2 linked regions of the Neodiprion lecontei genome follow. The protein of the gene in region 1 purifies or fractionates together with the protein of each later gene. This does not show direct contact. Links are inferred from orthologs where the notes say so. Each region holds a gene or a part of one and is shown on either strand. Other genes may lie near its edges. The genes, in order: WD repeat-containing protein 19 and intraflagellar transport protein 122 homolog.

Region 1 (4,973 bases):
TCATTGTACTGTACTGATATATTGTGTGCAATCATAATTTGTGAAACATTATAATTTTTACTTCGCTGGATGAAATCAATAAAAAATCCGCATTAGATACTCAATTTCTAAGATATTCCTGTTCCAATATCGAGTTTGGATTATGCGTGAAGATAAATTATTGAAATAATAAAACTACAATAATTCCATCTCTCATGTGATATGAAATAAAACAAATAATTGCAAAACGGGAAAACGTACTTTCGGATCAAAAGGTACCAGTGTGTCTGTCGATGATACCAATTCTAACGATAATTAGAGTATGCACTTGGACCTATTTCTACTCAGAAGTTATCTTCATAGTCTGTATACCAATTTGTTGAGAGTATTTACTATCCCTTCAGCTTTGAGTAACATGTAGAATTATTAATTGTTGCATAAACGCGTTGCATATTGTATATCAAGTATTTACTGCCGTATTATTGAATAATATCAAAATTGTGTATTGCATTCATTTGTAACATGTAGACACGATCAATAACAAATTCAAATGATAATATACCTAATTATTGTACCTATAGATGATTTTCTTCTTTCACAAACTCACTATCAATAAGTGATTGAATTAAATCATATAATAAAAGTACGATCGAGAAGTCAAAAGTACGTAGAATAAAATTAAGCCTTCCCCTTTCATCGAATCCTCATTATCACTGAATTATCGAGTAATCAACATATTTGAGCAATAGTATGTAATCCAATGTGCTAAAATAGCAATTCATCAGTGTTCAATAGAAAGGATGATCTATAAGTCTTGCATTATAGGAAAAATATGATCACAATCGCATATCATTGATAAAGGGAAAATTTAACGACCGTTTCAAATGTATATATCATATATTGTGAGAACTGAAAGTATAATTGCATTACAATCCACCCTAAGATGGAACATGATGGACATTGTCAAAAAAGTGCTGAAATTTAACAGCAAATGTTTGAAAGAATAATATTTCTGTAAAGTTCCAGCAATACCATAATAAAAGTCGTATCTGAAACGCTCATCGATGTCAGCCCTCTCTAAAAATGGGTTCTTACTAAAATTCAAACAAATTTAGTCATTCTCAAAGAATAATGTCTTCATGAGATTTTGGCAAAAGTTTCAAGATCGTTCAAAGAAATAACTAATCTGCACAGAACATCTTGAACAAAAATTCATTTAAAACTGTTTATTTGCACAATCCGTACATGAAATTAAACGAATTAAAAAAATTCTAGATTTTTAGCAAGGTTTCAGGCCAAATATCTATTTCGAAAACCGTTTGTTTCGAATGTGGCCGTGCTGAATCAAATACATTCGAATGAGATTAAATGAGATGCCAGATGTTAGTGCTACTTGGCGTAAATACGAAATCTCTTTACGGCGTTCCGAAGGCGTGATCTAGGACCCTATATTCTATAGTCACATACATTCATCATAAAATTATTTTATTTTGTTAAATATTAATGTATTCGTGTAATCTTCAGCAGCAGTTTTGATTTTCCACATGCAAACGTCAAACTTTCGTGAATACTGTCTGTTAGATCGCCGCCATTATTGTTTACCTCATCCTCACCGACGCATGAGGTCCCTGGCGGATTTCCGTCGTACTAAGACATAATAACCACAGAGCTCAACACCGGACCACCTCTTATTCTTACACCGTGGCAGAAACACACCTATACAGTTTCACACGCTAGTTTAAATCTCGATCTCCCTGTTTGCGGCCTTGCATGCGACGCGTCCAAACGCGATACGTAATAAACAACATGGAGATTGTAGTGACATTCAGTTTGAAAATGTGTCAAATAAATCGATATCAGTGTAATGAGTTGATGCTAACATAAACAATCATGACTTCTGTCCCATGTATTAGTTATTAGTAAAGATTCAAGTTGTTTGCCATTTTGCAAGAATGGCATCAGATAAGGTAGGTTATGAATTAATGTCAAACATCAAACTATTACGTTACTTAATTAAAACTAAAGCTCAACAATACGCTTCAAGCAGATAATGAAGAGCTTCATTTATATACATTTTAATTACAAATTCTCACCCCTGTGCTGTTACCTAAACATTTCTTGATGAGGTAAAATATGTTTTTTAAAATCACCTGAATATTGTGTTTTTTTTCTTAATCCATCGATTGTCAAGTATAGATGTTTGCAAATTGAAAATTAACTGTAAAATTAGCACCTGAGTTTTTAATGCTTTCTATATCTAGTCACTATTTTTCCACCAAAGTTCCAAATTTTTATTCTCATATCAGTTCTCTTACTTGAGTTTTACGTGTACACAACTCACTTTAGTTTACACTAGCTTTGTGTGTGTCCGCAAATCGTGATATCTATTTTTGCTTTCGAGTTCGTAAACAAAATTTATGTATATTGGCGACATCTCACAGTAAAACAGTTCTTTCTCATCTCTGCGTATTGTGAATTGAATCGATTACTTCTGTGCACAGGTTTTATACCGCTTGGACCAACCGCATGGTCCTGGAAACGTGTACATTGCTTGGCGCCCTGGCAACGGTACATATTTAGCTACAACTGGTTGCGATTCCGCAGTTGTGATATACAACCGCCAAGGGGAAATACAAGACCGTATTCAACTACCTGGTTTATGTACGGGCATGGGTTGGGATGCCGACGGAGATTTATTGGCTATGATTTCAAACGGATCATCTGCTATTACCTTGTGGGATGCAACGACAGGAAAAAAATCCCAAATAGACACGGGACTAAGAGATAGTTTAACTTGCATGATTTGGTCGAAAAAGAACTGCACTCTTGCAGTGGGTACGCAAAAAGGAAACCTAGCGCTTTACGATCATATTAATGCTAAGTGCGTGACCTTTTCTACATAAAATAGAACAGTCATTATCAGTATATAGATAGCTTTCCAATTATATTGCACACCCTCGATGATTTAAAACTTTATGGATAGGAAAACATTCTCTCATTTCCAATTTATATTGATAAGATGTTACAGATATATCAAATTTTCTTTTTCAGACGCATTCCTATTCTAGGTAAGCACAAAAAGAAAATTGTTTGCGGCGCTTGGTCATTGGAGGGCCTCCTTGCTTTGGCAAGTGAAGATAAGGTATTATCGATCAGTACGTGCGAAGGTGATACACGTAGGGAAATAACAATACAAGGAGAGCCATCCGACCTTCAATTTAGTGAAATGAAAATGGACCAGAGAATCGGCGGTGAAAACACAGTATGCTATCTATTTGATATACAATTTCAAAGAAATTATTAGTTAAAAAAGACTCGATTTTATATTAGAATGCTTTTATCACAACCTGATCCCTTTATAAGATTCGTGTCTCTCAAATCTATTTAAGAAACTGTGAAATTTAGTTTATTCTTGGGGTACAGAAGGTGGGTGATTTGTAATTCAATTGTTGAATCATATCTTCAGTTATTGATAAAAAAAATCAGGTGAAAATTGCTCATAGCAGTAAAATTAATTGATGTATGTATGATATTGGTAAAACGAGCAATTAAAAGTACGAAGCAATTAATAATCAACCGTATTATTTAACAGGTATCGCTCGTCGTCAGCAAAACTACATTATTTTTATACAATGTTTTGGATCCAGACAATCCCATTGAATTGGCGTTTCAAAAGCGCTATGGTCAAATCGTAACTCACAAGTGGTGAGTTCATTATGAAAAATGCATACGTTACTACAATATATCTGGTATTTGATCACAGAAAACGAAAAAATTTAATATCTATATCGCGTATTTTATAAAATGTGAATCAGGTATGGCGATGGTTACATATTGGTTGGTTTCGAGGCTGGCTTTCTAATAGCAATATCAACGCATATCAAAGAAGTTGGACAAGAGTTATTTCAAATCAAAAATCATCGAGATTCTTTAAATGATATTGCACTGAACAATATCGCTGGAAAACTTGTAACATGTGGCGACAATACGTTGAAAGTACACAGTATACAAAATTTAGAAGAAACCAATAAAGTGATAACTTTGGCAGGAGAGACAGGCATCAGTCACGTGGAATGGTCATCCGATGGTAGTATGTTAGCCGCCGCGACGCACAATGGAAACATTTTAATTTATTTATTGCAATTACCAAAAATAACCAGCGTATGTGGAAATAGAATTGCCATTTTAACAAGCCTGACTGAAGTGGTTGTACATTTATATATGCTTGATAAGGTACGTAAACTGTGTGCAAATAATATGGTTAATAATTGGGTGCAAAAATAAGCTGAAAAATATATTAACAATGACAAAAAAAGGGATTCAATCCAATTATTTGTACAATTTTATGTTAAGTACCAAAGTTGATTGGGTAAGATTAGGATGTTTTAAAAAGAAATTACACACCTGTAGCTCCCCATCTGGTATTTCATATCCAGTTTGTATCAGTATAACCATGCTTAAAATAAATGTGACGTTACGAAATATTCATAGATATATTATTATCCGAATATGGAAATAATGACACAAATGAATATTTTCAGAGTAAACCAACACCGCAGACAATCAATACCCTGATAGAACCATCTGTAATGGCTGTCGGTCCTTTGCATTTAGCAGCAGCTTTGAATAACAGAGTATTATTTTGGAATTTAACAAAATTCAATTATGATCACCCTGTACATTTTGAAAGGGATTACTTAGGGACAGTCGAGAGTATATGCCTGAATCAAACTTTTGTTTCCGTTCTGTTTGATGGAAAGCTTCAATTACACACTGTGAGTTTACATTGTGTATGCAAAATGTAAGAGATAAAGAATTAAAATCTTGGCGGTTTTATTTCAGATAGAAACGGAACAGGACTCGGCAAACGGTGCAACTGAATCAAAAATATTTCCACAAACTAACACTTTGGATTCTAAAATAACGTGCCATGCTTTGTCGCCCGACTTTTTAGTTTACGGAAATGATGTAAGACTTTATAGAAGACTCAAATA
Region 2 (7,915 bases), on another chromosome or scaffold:
CAGATGCTATCGTTGCGACGGCAAAAATCACTGCAAGCAACACGCTGAACATCTTTACAGTTCCGTACAACTGATTGAAAAGGTAGGATATCACTCGCCACTATGAGATCTCGGTAACGGAGTGCTGTTTACTTAGCTGTTGGAGCAATTATCATGTGCTTGATAATTTCCAACAACTGTAATTTCTTTCTTGGATAACTGTGACTATACTTATTTTACCGCTAGGTATACGTTTACTTATTCATTCTATAACTATTACTGAATTTTTCAATACTATGATATATTACTGTGAACTGGTCATTGACGTTATCAAACAATAAATAGCGTGATATGCATAATTGTTTAAAATTTATAACAACAAAGGGAGCTGAAATTAATTTGCTAACAGTCGATAAATAAATAGATTGATCATTTCTTTATTCCTATGAGGTGTGACTTGTTTTCTATAGATATTCCTTTTCACGTTGCGTGTCTTGTAATTTGTTCTGCTCTAGGTAACTGTGAACTTCTACAGAACGGACAGTGGCCGTGACGCAATATTGCCAATTCGTAGTCATCTGAATGGAATAACTGAAAAATCATAAACACACTTCTCGTTATATTAATTACAATACTTCTTCAAAGCATCTTTAGTGGCTCGTAAGAATTCGGGCACTAACAAATAAGCCCCAAGTTAACGGTACCTTTAAACATGATTTGCACAAAGTTATTTGAAGATCCGGCAAAAGATTTCTGAAATATCTGGTCTTGAAGGGTTTTGGCCAGTGTGCAATTAGTACGCTGGACGGTTCTATACTTGCTAAAACACCTCGACCAACGGTAATTCTTGATTCGCCTGTCTTATCCTGCGAACATTGAAAATTTGTGTAATATTTCTGAAAAATAATTGCAGCTACGAACGACAAGAGAGTATATATATAAATTGTTTGTAGAATTGTGATATATACCTCGTATCGTATCAAGCGAGCTGTAAACAGGTCGCCAACGGGCGTAGGTATGGTGAGTTGATTATCACTGATCAAAGAACTATCAGAGAGAGGTCTTGGCTCTTCGATTAATCTTTTGGCTTCTTCGTCAGTGATTCCTTCTTCCAACTCAAATTCAACTATAGGTAATATTTCTGGATAGGCAAGAGGTATTCACATTAAATAAGAAGAATATTGCGCTGACGGAATGAATATACAAAATAATAATCGACGATTTCTAGTGGAATTGGTCTCTCTGTTTATTTCCCCCATCTACAGTTTGAAAGTATTTACGAATAAAGTATCCTTTTGACTTGAACTTACCAAACATGACGAATGAATGCTGAAATTTAAGTCCGCACTGAACACATTTATTTCCAAAAATGTTGTTGGAAGGTAGAAGTGAATTGAAGGTAGAACAGCGGTAGCAAAGAGGTAGGAGTTCTTCAGGATCGCTGTAAGGATAAGCCCTAGCTGCCAAAGTTGAGACCTCCACTTGCGATAATAGACTTGCAGGAATTTTCATACCCCGTAATCGCTCAAAGAGCTGTGTTACCAATTTATGGGCACCGAGAATACGCGCTTGCTTAATCAGTGTATAAGTTATGGTGAACTGTGATACTCCTTCGACTTGTATATCTTGAGTTTTCATTAGCAAAAATCGAGATATATTGAACAAAGCCTCCGGCATCAATGAGGTGAATGGTTCTTCCTGAAACATGAAGGTATAACATTGTAAGAAGACATCCTACGATTATTGTACTGATTAGTCATCAACAAATGAATTACAACTCACCAAATATTTGTAAACTTCGTTATATGCGTAGTAAATATCAGCTTTATCATAATATATTTGAAAAGTTGCCATTATTTCGTCGGTACGCTTGCTCAAATCGAGGCTGAGTTGTGAAAGGATCCAATAGAAGTACGAAGCATCGCGGAATCTTTTTTCAGCCACAGCATTTTTGGCTAACAGTGTGAGAACAGATATCGATTCCTCAGGTTGACCAGCCATTTGAAATGCTGCCCATATAAAATCAGTTGAAATATTTAATTATTAACGAGAAATCAAACAGAGAACAATTTCGTATCGTACCTTCTTGAGCTTCAGAAAAACGACCAGTTTCAGCTAACCATCTTGCATATGGTCCATATACGCGAGATTTTAGTTTTGGATTTCTTTCCGCCAGTTCGAACGCCTCAGGCCATGCTTGTGCGTCTATCAAAACATCAGCGACGTCAGGATCATCTCCTAATCGACTGAATATTTCAGCAGCGCCATGCGTCGCGCCTAACTGTCTCAGTTTTTTAGCTATCATAGACAAACTGTCTCTCTCGGCCTTATCCAGTTGTCTTCCAACTTTGATGAGCCTGAATTGTTAAGATCAATGTATAAGAAAAGAAAATTGTTGGACTTTAAATTAGGCAGCTAATACACACATGTCGATCCAACCATATTCAGCAATGATATTAATGGCTCGTTGAACATCTCCAGCAGTGAGGAACATTTCTGCAGCTGCTCGAGGTTCTCCCAAACTTTTTGCCCACTCAGCTCTTCGCCTCAGTAAAATTGTTCGGTCCTGAGATGTAGACATAAGATCATTGGCTAAAATTCCTAAATTTTGTAAAATGAGATTAGAGCAAAAAAAATTAAAATTGTCTTTCATGTACCTGAGTGTTACCACTGGTGATAAATTCTTGAGCTATATCAAACATTCTCAAATCTGAATACATATTAAGAGCGTATTGTTGAAGTCCAGCTTTCTGATACAGTCTTGCAGCTTCTCGAAGTTTTCCCATTGCCGCGGCCGCAGTAGCCATGCAAGCTTCTCGACCCCATTCCCCAGAATTCAATTTTTCCTCAACTTCAGAAACGATATCGATATAACGTAATTTTTTAATACGCGAAAACGCCGCGTATGCTACGTTCAGTTCTAAGTGATCCAGAGCAGCAGTCCCCAAAGCGAGCCAATCACCTTCAGCTACGCCTAAACAAGCTATTGCAAAAGCTTCTTTAAACATTCCTCTTTCTAGGTACTGATACATAGATGATGACATTGGTACCTGAAATTCATTGTCATCTTTAGTCACTGTTACTAGTTTAGCCTAACAAGTTAAAAAGAGGTTTTGCGAGTTACATATTTGGAACCATACCTCTACCGTCAGTATCGCCGCTCCGTTTAAACAGTACAACTTGGACCCATTATGCCCAACAACAAAGCCGGAAAATTTTTGTTTGTATTCGTTAAAATCAGCGACTTTTACAGCCAAGTAATCGTTCCCTGAGTAGCACATCATATCCTCAAACACGGAATTGAATGCAACGCTTGTAACATCTTGGATTTCTCGTAATATTTCTTCTGTATTTAGATCAAACACCGTAAGCAAACCCGTGTCGCTTACTACGGCTAACTTTTCTTTGAGTGGGCTAATATCTAGACAGTGTATAGCACCTTCAACTTTTGCCAGCTGAGCTGGAAACGGATTGTCGAGATATATCTTTGAAACGTATCCGGTTTTCAATCCTGAAATATAATATTGACAAGTTTATTATTCATTATTAATTACTGTTAGGCTAATATCAATCTGGTAAGCGTAAAAATGAATTCAACCTGCAATGATGCATTCTTGACCTGATGGACCACCGGCGACTTTTATATAGGTAATAACGCCATCGAGAATCCACTCTCTTTCAATAATACCAGTAAAAGTTAGGCTCTGCAGTCGTTTGTCTAGGCACAGTACCAAATGGTTTGTGGTTACAACTAACAAATTGCAATTCAAGGACTGAGGAAGTTTGTCCCTGATGCGATAGTGCATTCCCTCGCTGTTTCCCGAAGGTTCATATATGATCACTCGTTCAGGTAATTGCACAGCGAGTCTATCTCGATAAACTGCAATTCTACAGACCTGAAATAACAATCGTGCAATTTCATTCGATCCAGGTTGGAGACGTAGGAATAATGAAAAAAACTTGAAGTACGGCTTACCAAATCTTTGCACTTAATTCGAACTTTTTGATTTGTAACCAGGTGCTGGATTATAACATCAGTCATATTTTCTCGATATGCATATCGGTCTCCGTACAAGCCGTGAACAGTATTCCAGGACAATTGAGAATACGTTATTGTTCCATCTTGACAACCAATGGCCTGGGACACAAAAGATGTTAGCCACTGTAAATCTATTTGCAAATTTCAATGGGATTGAGAAATAGAATTGAACGCACGACGTGTGAGGATCCTGGATGAACGGCGCAACTCCATACCCAGGATGAAAAAGTATCACCAATCGAAGCCAGCTGAATGCCGTCATGGGTCATTAATAAACAGCGTTTATTGCTGCCAGCTACAAGAATGTATTGTCCGTCAGGAAAGTAGGCTACATTCAGTGGAATGAAATTCAGCGACCTGTCCCTGCTCACTGTTTTTCCAGCCAGAGTGTAGAAGGAAAGACCGCCGCCCCAATCAGCGACGCATAACACGTCCACAGAATCGTCCCTGTTGTCGGTAAAAATAAAATTGACACTTCCAATGATTCTTTAGTGAGAAGAATGTTCCAGAAATATTTCAGCTTACTTCAATGGGCTCCAAGACAAACTCCAGATTGGCGTTCCCCCTGCACGATCAATTCGAGTCTTTTCTTCTCCGTTCTGGAAACAATCTTTCAACATTATTACGTTTCAATTAAAAATCTGAGATAATTAATGGACGAACCTTATTTCTGATAGAAACATATCCCAGCGCAAGTCCAATGGCCAAGTACTGTCCATCCTTTGTCCAAGCACAGCAATTTACTCTTCCTCCAGACTTCAGCTTCTGCACAGCCTTCTGTTCAGTGGACCAAAATGCGATGTCGGAAAGTGCACAGCTGAGCAACTGGTGCGAGACAGGATTAAATTGCATCGCTTGAACAGCTTCACTATGGCTAAAAAATTTGCTTTGCATTATTCATTGGCACATACAAAGGCTTACGTAAAAACGAACCGGCGTAAAAAGCTTTAGTAATGTCTTACGAGTATTTTAATATTCCTTCGAGCTTGGAAGTCCATATAATAACGCTTTTGTCTGCACTACCAGACGCAAACTTCTTTCCATCTCTCGCGTAGCAAACGCAATAGACGACATCTTTGTGTCCTAAAATGTAGATTTGAATTAATCGTGATTTGTAATCTAGTTTAGTTGACTAATTAAAATGCTGCACAATCTGGTATAATAGTGGAAAAGGAAGGGCATGATCTGTGTTATATTGAGCAATAAATTATAGGGATAATATACCTTTGAGTGGTTGTACAAGCGCACCATCATTGGTTTCGTAGACAAGGACTTGACTGCCAGCAGCGACTATTAATTGGGTTCCATCTGGGTTGAAGCAGAGATCATAGATGCTGAAATAAATTTGGGAACAATCAATTCAATAATGAGGATTAAGAAAGAAGAAGGAAAAACTGTTTATGAATGCGTTTGCATGTGGAAAATACTATGCAAACTTTGGTTTTCATTTGAATGCTGTATACACAAGAGTATGCATACAGATTAAACAAACTTTGCATATAACAGTGAAATACTGAGATACCTCATAATTGTTTGTTCAATTGTTTGCCGTGTATATAAATTTATGCTGTTATTGATCACTTACCATTGGTCTGTTTTATCTTGAACTTTATCAACCCATGTAGGATGAGATCTCATTTTAATAACTTCAGTGTAATAAAAAGGATGCCTCTATTCTCTAATTCGTTCACTAGCAATGAATTTAGCAGCCTATTGTCATTGTAATTTAGGTTCAAGAACCGTTAACCACTTGAGTCTACCCAAATGCATATATACATTGCTATTTACGTCTAATAAGCGCACGCTACTGGGTCGAATCAGTAGTTTGTTTTGATTTTTGACACTTCGCAAATTAAACCGGTTACCGGGGCAACGTGATCCAGATTTCTGTGGCGTTCTAACCTCACTCTACAATACTAGTCTCAAAGTCTCAACATTTATGAGGTTGAACTTAGTAACGTTGCTTTAACGATGCATGTTTACTTCGCACCCTTAGGATTGACTGAAATTCAGCTATTAAATCATAACAAATAAAATATGTTCATATACTGAAAAGTCAACTCCTTGAAAGTCGTTCTAAAATTGTACTACGATTTATTCCATGATGTTTTTTTACGTTAACGTTACTAACTTCAGACCTGTCAACATTTATGGACTCAACCTTAACCTAACAGAAATTAGTCGGGTTAGGTTAGGAAATTTCACGTGCCACATGCCGAATTCTACAAATACGACGCCTTCTCAGCTTACTCGATTATTAATATCACTTAGCACTGATTTAGCTGTAAGAAATGAAAAGATACTTATTATACATGAATTATATTGGCACCCACTTCAGGTACGCGTCTTTTATACAAGATTTAGTATATTTTGTTGTATATTACAGTCTTGCTTTATACTAATATTATAACAGTAGGTAAAATTTAGTCGAACCTAATTAATTTGTTTAATTTTCACACAATATACATGAACAATTGCAGTGGAATGCAAAGACAAGAGTCCATACGCACAATTCAAGGCACTATTGAAGAAGCATTGGCCGACTCCATTAAACCCCGAAGTCTATCTGAACCAATTCTTCAAGTTTCCAGCAGGTTTTAATTGCTGCTTATATGTTGTAAACATATTCATAATATGAGTATTAAAGAAATCGATGGGGCGGTTGAAAATTGAGTATAATCGAACACGGCTCAAGAATTTCCTAATTTTTACACCCACTGCAATTCTCACAGAACCGATAGCGGCGTTCATGCTCTGTCAACAACAGCCCACATCGACTTGATTCATCCAAAGAACGAGTCATACAATACGCAATATATGAAGCACAGACTAAATAAGACTTTTGCTAAGAATGGTCATGCGATCAGGTCAGTGTATTTATTAACTGTTATGCAAATCTTGGTCAACATTGTATCGATCTAAAATTTATTTACCTGTTTCAAAGACACGTATCAAATTTAACGACCCAGAATCACTTCCTGTTACCAAGTCAGCACAGACTTTCATGCCAGACATTCAGCCAAGTCTCGATCATATTTGTATCGTCTCATGGTTCCTAAGAAAGAATGTTATCAGGATATACCAGTCAGTGAGCTGTATCGATGTTTTGCACTTCTTGGGTACGCAACTATAACAGATTTTTATCCAAAAATTACTTATCAGTAAATTTCAGCTGTATAATAAAATACTATTGTCCGTTTTCAGTAATACTGGTCCCTTCGATGCGGAACGAGTAAAAAGGGGAACTCAGCTTTTCCTCGGACCTAAAGATTTTCAAACATTTGCTGGAAAAATAAAGAACAAGTATCAAAATAAAAAGGTTGTTTATGTCCGGCAACTTGATTACTTCACTGTGGAGAAGGGTCAGCCTTTAATGATTGATGATCCCCTTTCCACACAGTTCGATTACTGGGATTTCAGGTGTGGGGGTAGAGCTTTTCTTTATAATCAGGTAATGATCATCATTTGTATGGGTCAGACAATCGAACACTACGTTCCCCTATCTTGTCCTATTTTCATAATAATAATTAATATGGCTCTTTCAATATTTAACTTGGCAGGTTCGTCGAATGGTCGGAACCCTGATCACACTAGGACTAGGAAAAATTACGGAAAGAGATATTAGGTGTATGTTACAAGTTCCGTCACGTCATAACTGGGACTCGCGTGTTCAAGTATTGCCACCGTACGCTCTCTATTTATGCGAGGTAGGCTACGACCCGTTGGACTTAAAAAAGAATATTATTTGCGAAGATCAATCATCTGTAGCTGTTAATTAACTGAACATCATTTTACGTAGTGATAGTCGATATTTTACATTTTTTACCTAAATAATAAAAAATTTAAATAGCAGTTAACAATCACTAATTCTTAAAAGTGGTGATAGTTACGTTGCTG

What was found.
Region 2: the proteins of WD repeat-containing protein 19 (region 1) and intraflagellar transport protein 122 homolog purify together in Homo sapiens (affinity purification with mass spectrometry; 4 studies listed by BioGRID and IntAct, counting the BioPlex papers as one, with this or other methods). This does not show direct contact. The link is inferred for Neodiprion lecontei from reciprocal best matches to the Homo sapiens genes WDR19 and IFT122.

What each region holds. Positions count from the first base shown.
Region 1 is NC_060265.1:8,950,213-8,955,185, forward strand, and holds the start of WD repeat-containing protein 19, read left to right. Parts: upstream 1-1,720; 5' UTR 1,721-1,931; coding exon 1,932-1,946; intron 1,947-2,480; coding exon 2,481-2,860; intron 2,861-3,030; coding exon 3,031-3,241; intron 3,242-3,571; coding exon 3,572-3,684; intron 3,685-3,794; coding exon 3,795-4,212; intron 4,213-4,520; coding exon 4,521-4,754; intron 4,755-4,821; coding exon 4,822-4,947; intron 4,948-4,973. UniProt on the Homo sapiens protein: As component of the IFT complex A (IFT-A), a complex required for retrograde ciliary transport and entry into cilia of G protein-coupled receptors (GPCRs), it is involved in cilia function and/or assembly.
Region 2 is NC_060261.1:2,456,754-2,464,668, reverse strand, and holds intraflagellar transport protein 122 homolog, read right to left. Parts: upstream 6,036-7,915; 5' UTR 5,657-6,035; coding exon 5,604-5,656; intron 5,353-5,603; coding exon 5,243-5,352; intron 5,102-5,242; coding exon 4,981-5,101; intron 4,893-4,980; coding exon 4,682-4,892; intron 4,618-4,681; coding exon 4,544-4,617; intron 4,466-4,543; coding exon 4,195-4,465; intron 4,118-4,194; coding exon 3,956-4,117; intron 3,876-3,955; coding exon 3,578-3,875; intron 3,491-3,577; coding exon 3,120-3,490; intron 3,030-3,119; coding exon 2,637-3,029; intron 2,546-2,636; coding exon 2,406-2,545; intron 2,337-2,405; coding exon 2,062-2,336; intron 1,989-2,061; coding exon 1,762-1,988; intron 1,678-1,761; coding exon 1,290-1,677; intron 1,121-1,289; coding exon 948-1,120; intron 846-947; coding exon 684-845; intron 571-683; coding exon 460-570; 3' UTR 429-459; downstream 1-428. Other genes in the region: uncharacterized protein LOC107221624, read right to left, coding at 1-52; tRNA pseudouridine synthase A, read left to right, coding at 6,310-6,356, 6,499-6,612, 6,751-6,885, 6,988-7,137, 7,223-7,469, 7,579-7,797. UniProt on the Homo sapiens protein: As a component of the IFT complex A (IFT-A), a complex required for retrograde ciliary transport and entry into cilia of G protein-coupled receptors (GPCRs), it is required in ciliogenesis and ciliary protein trafficking.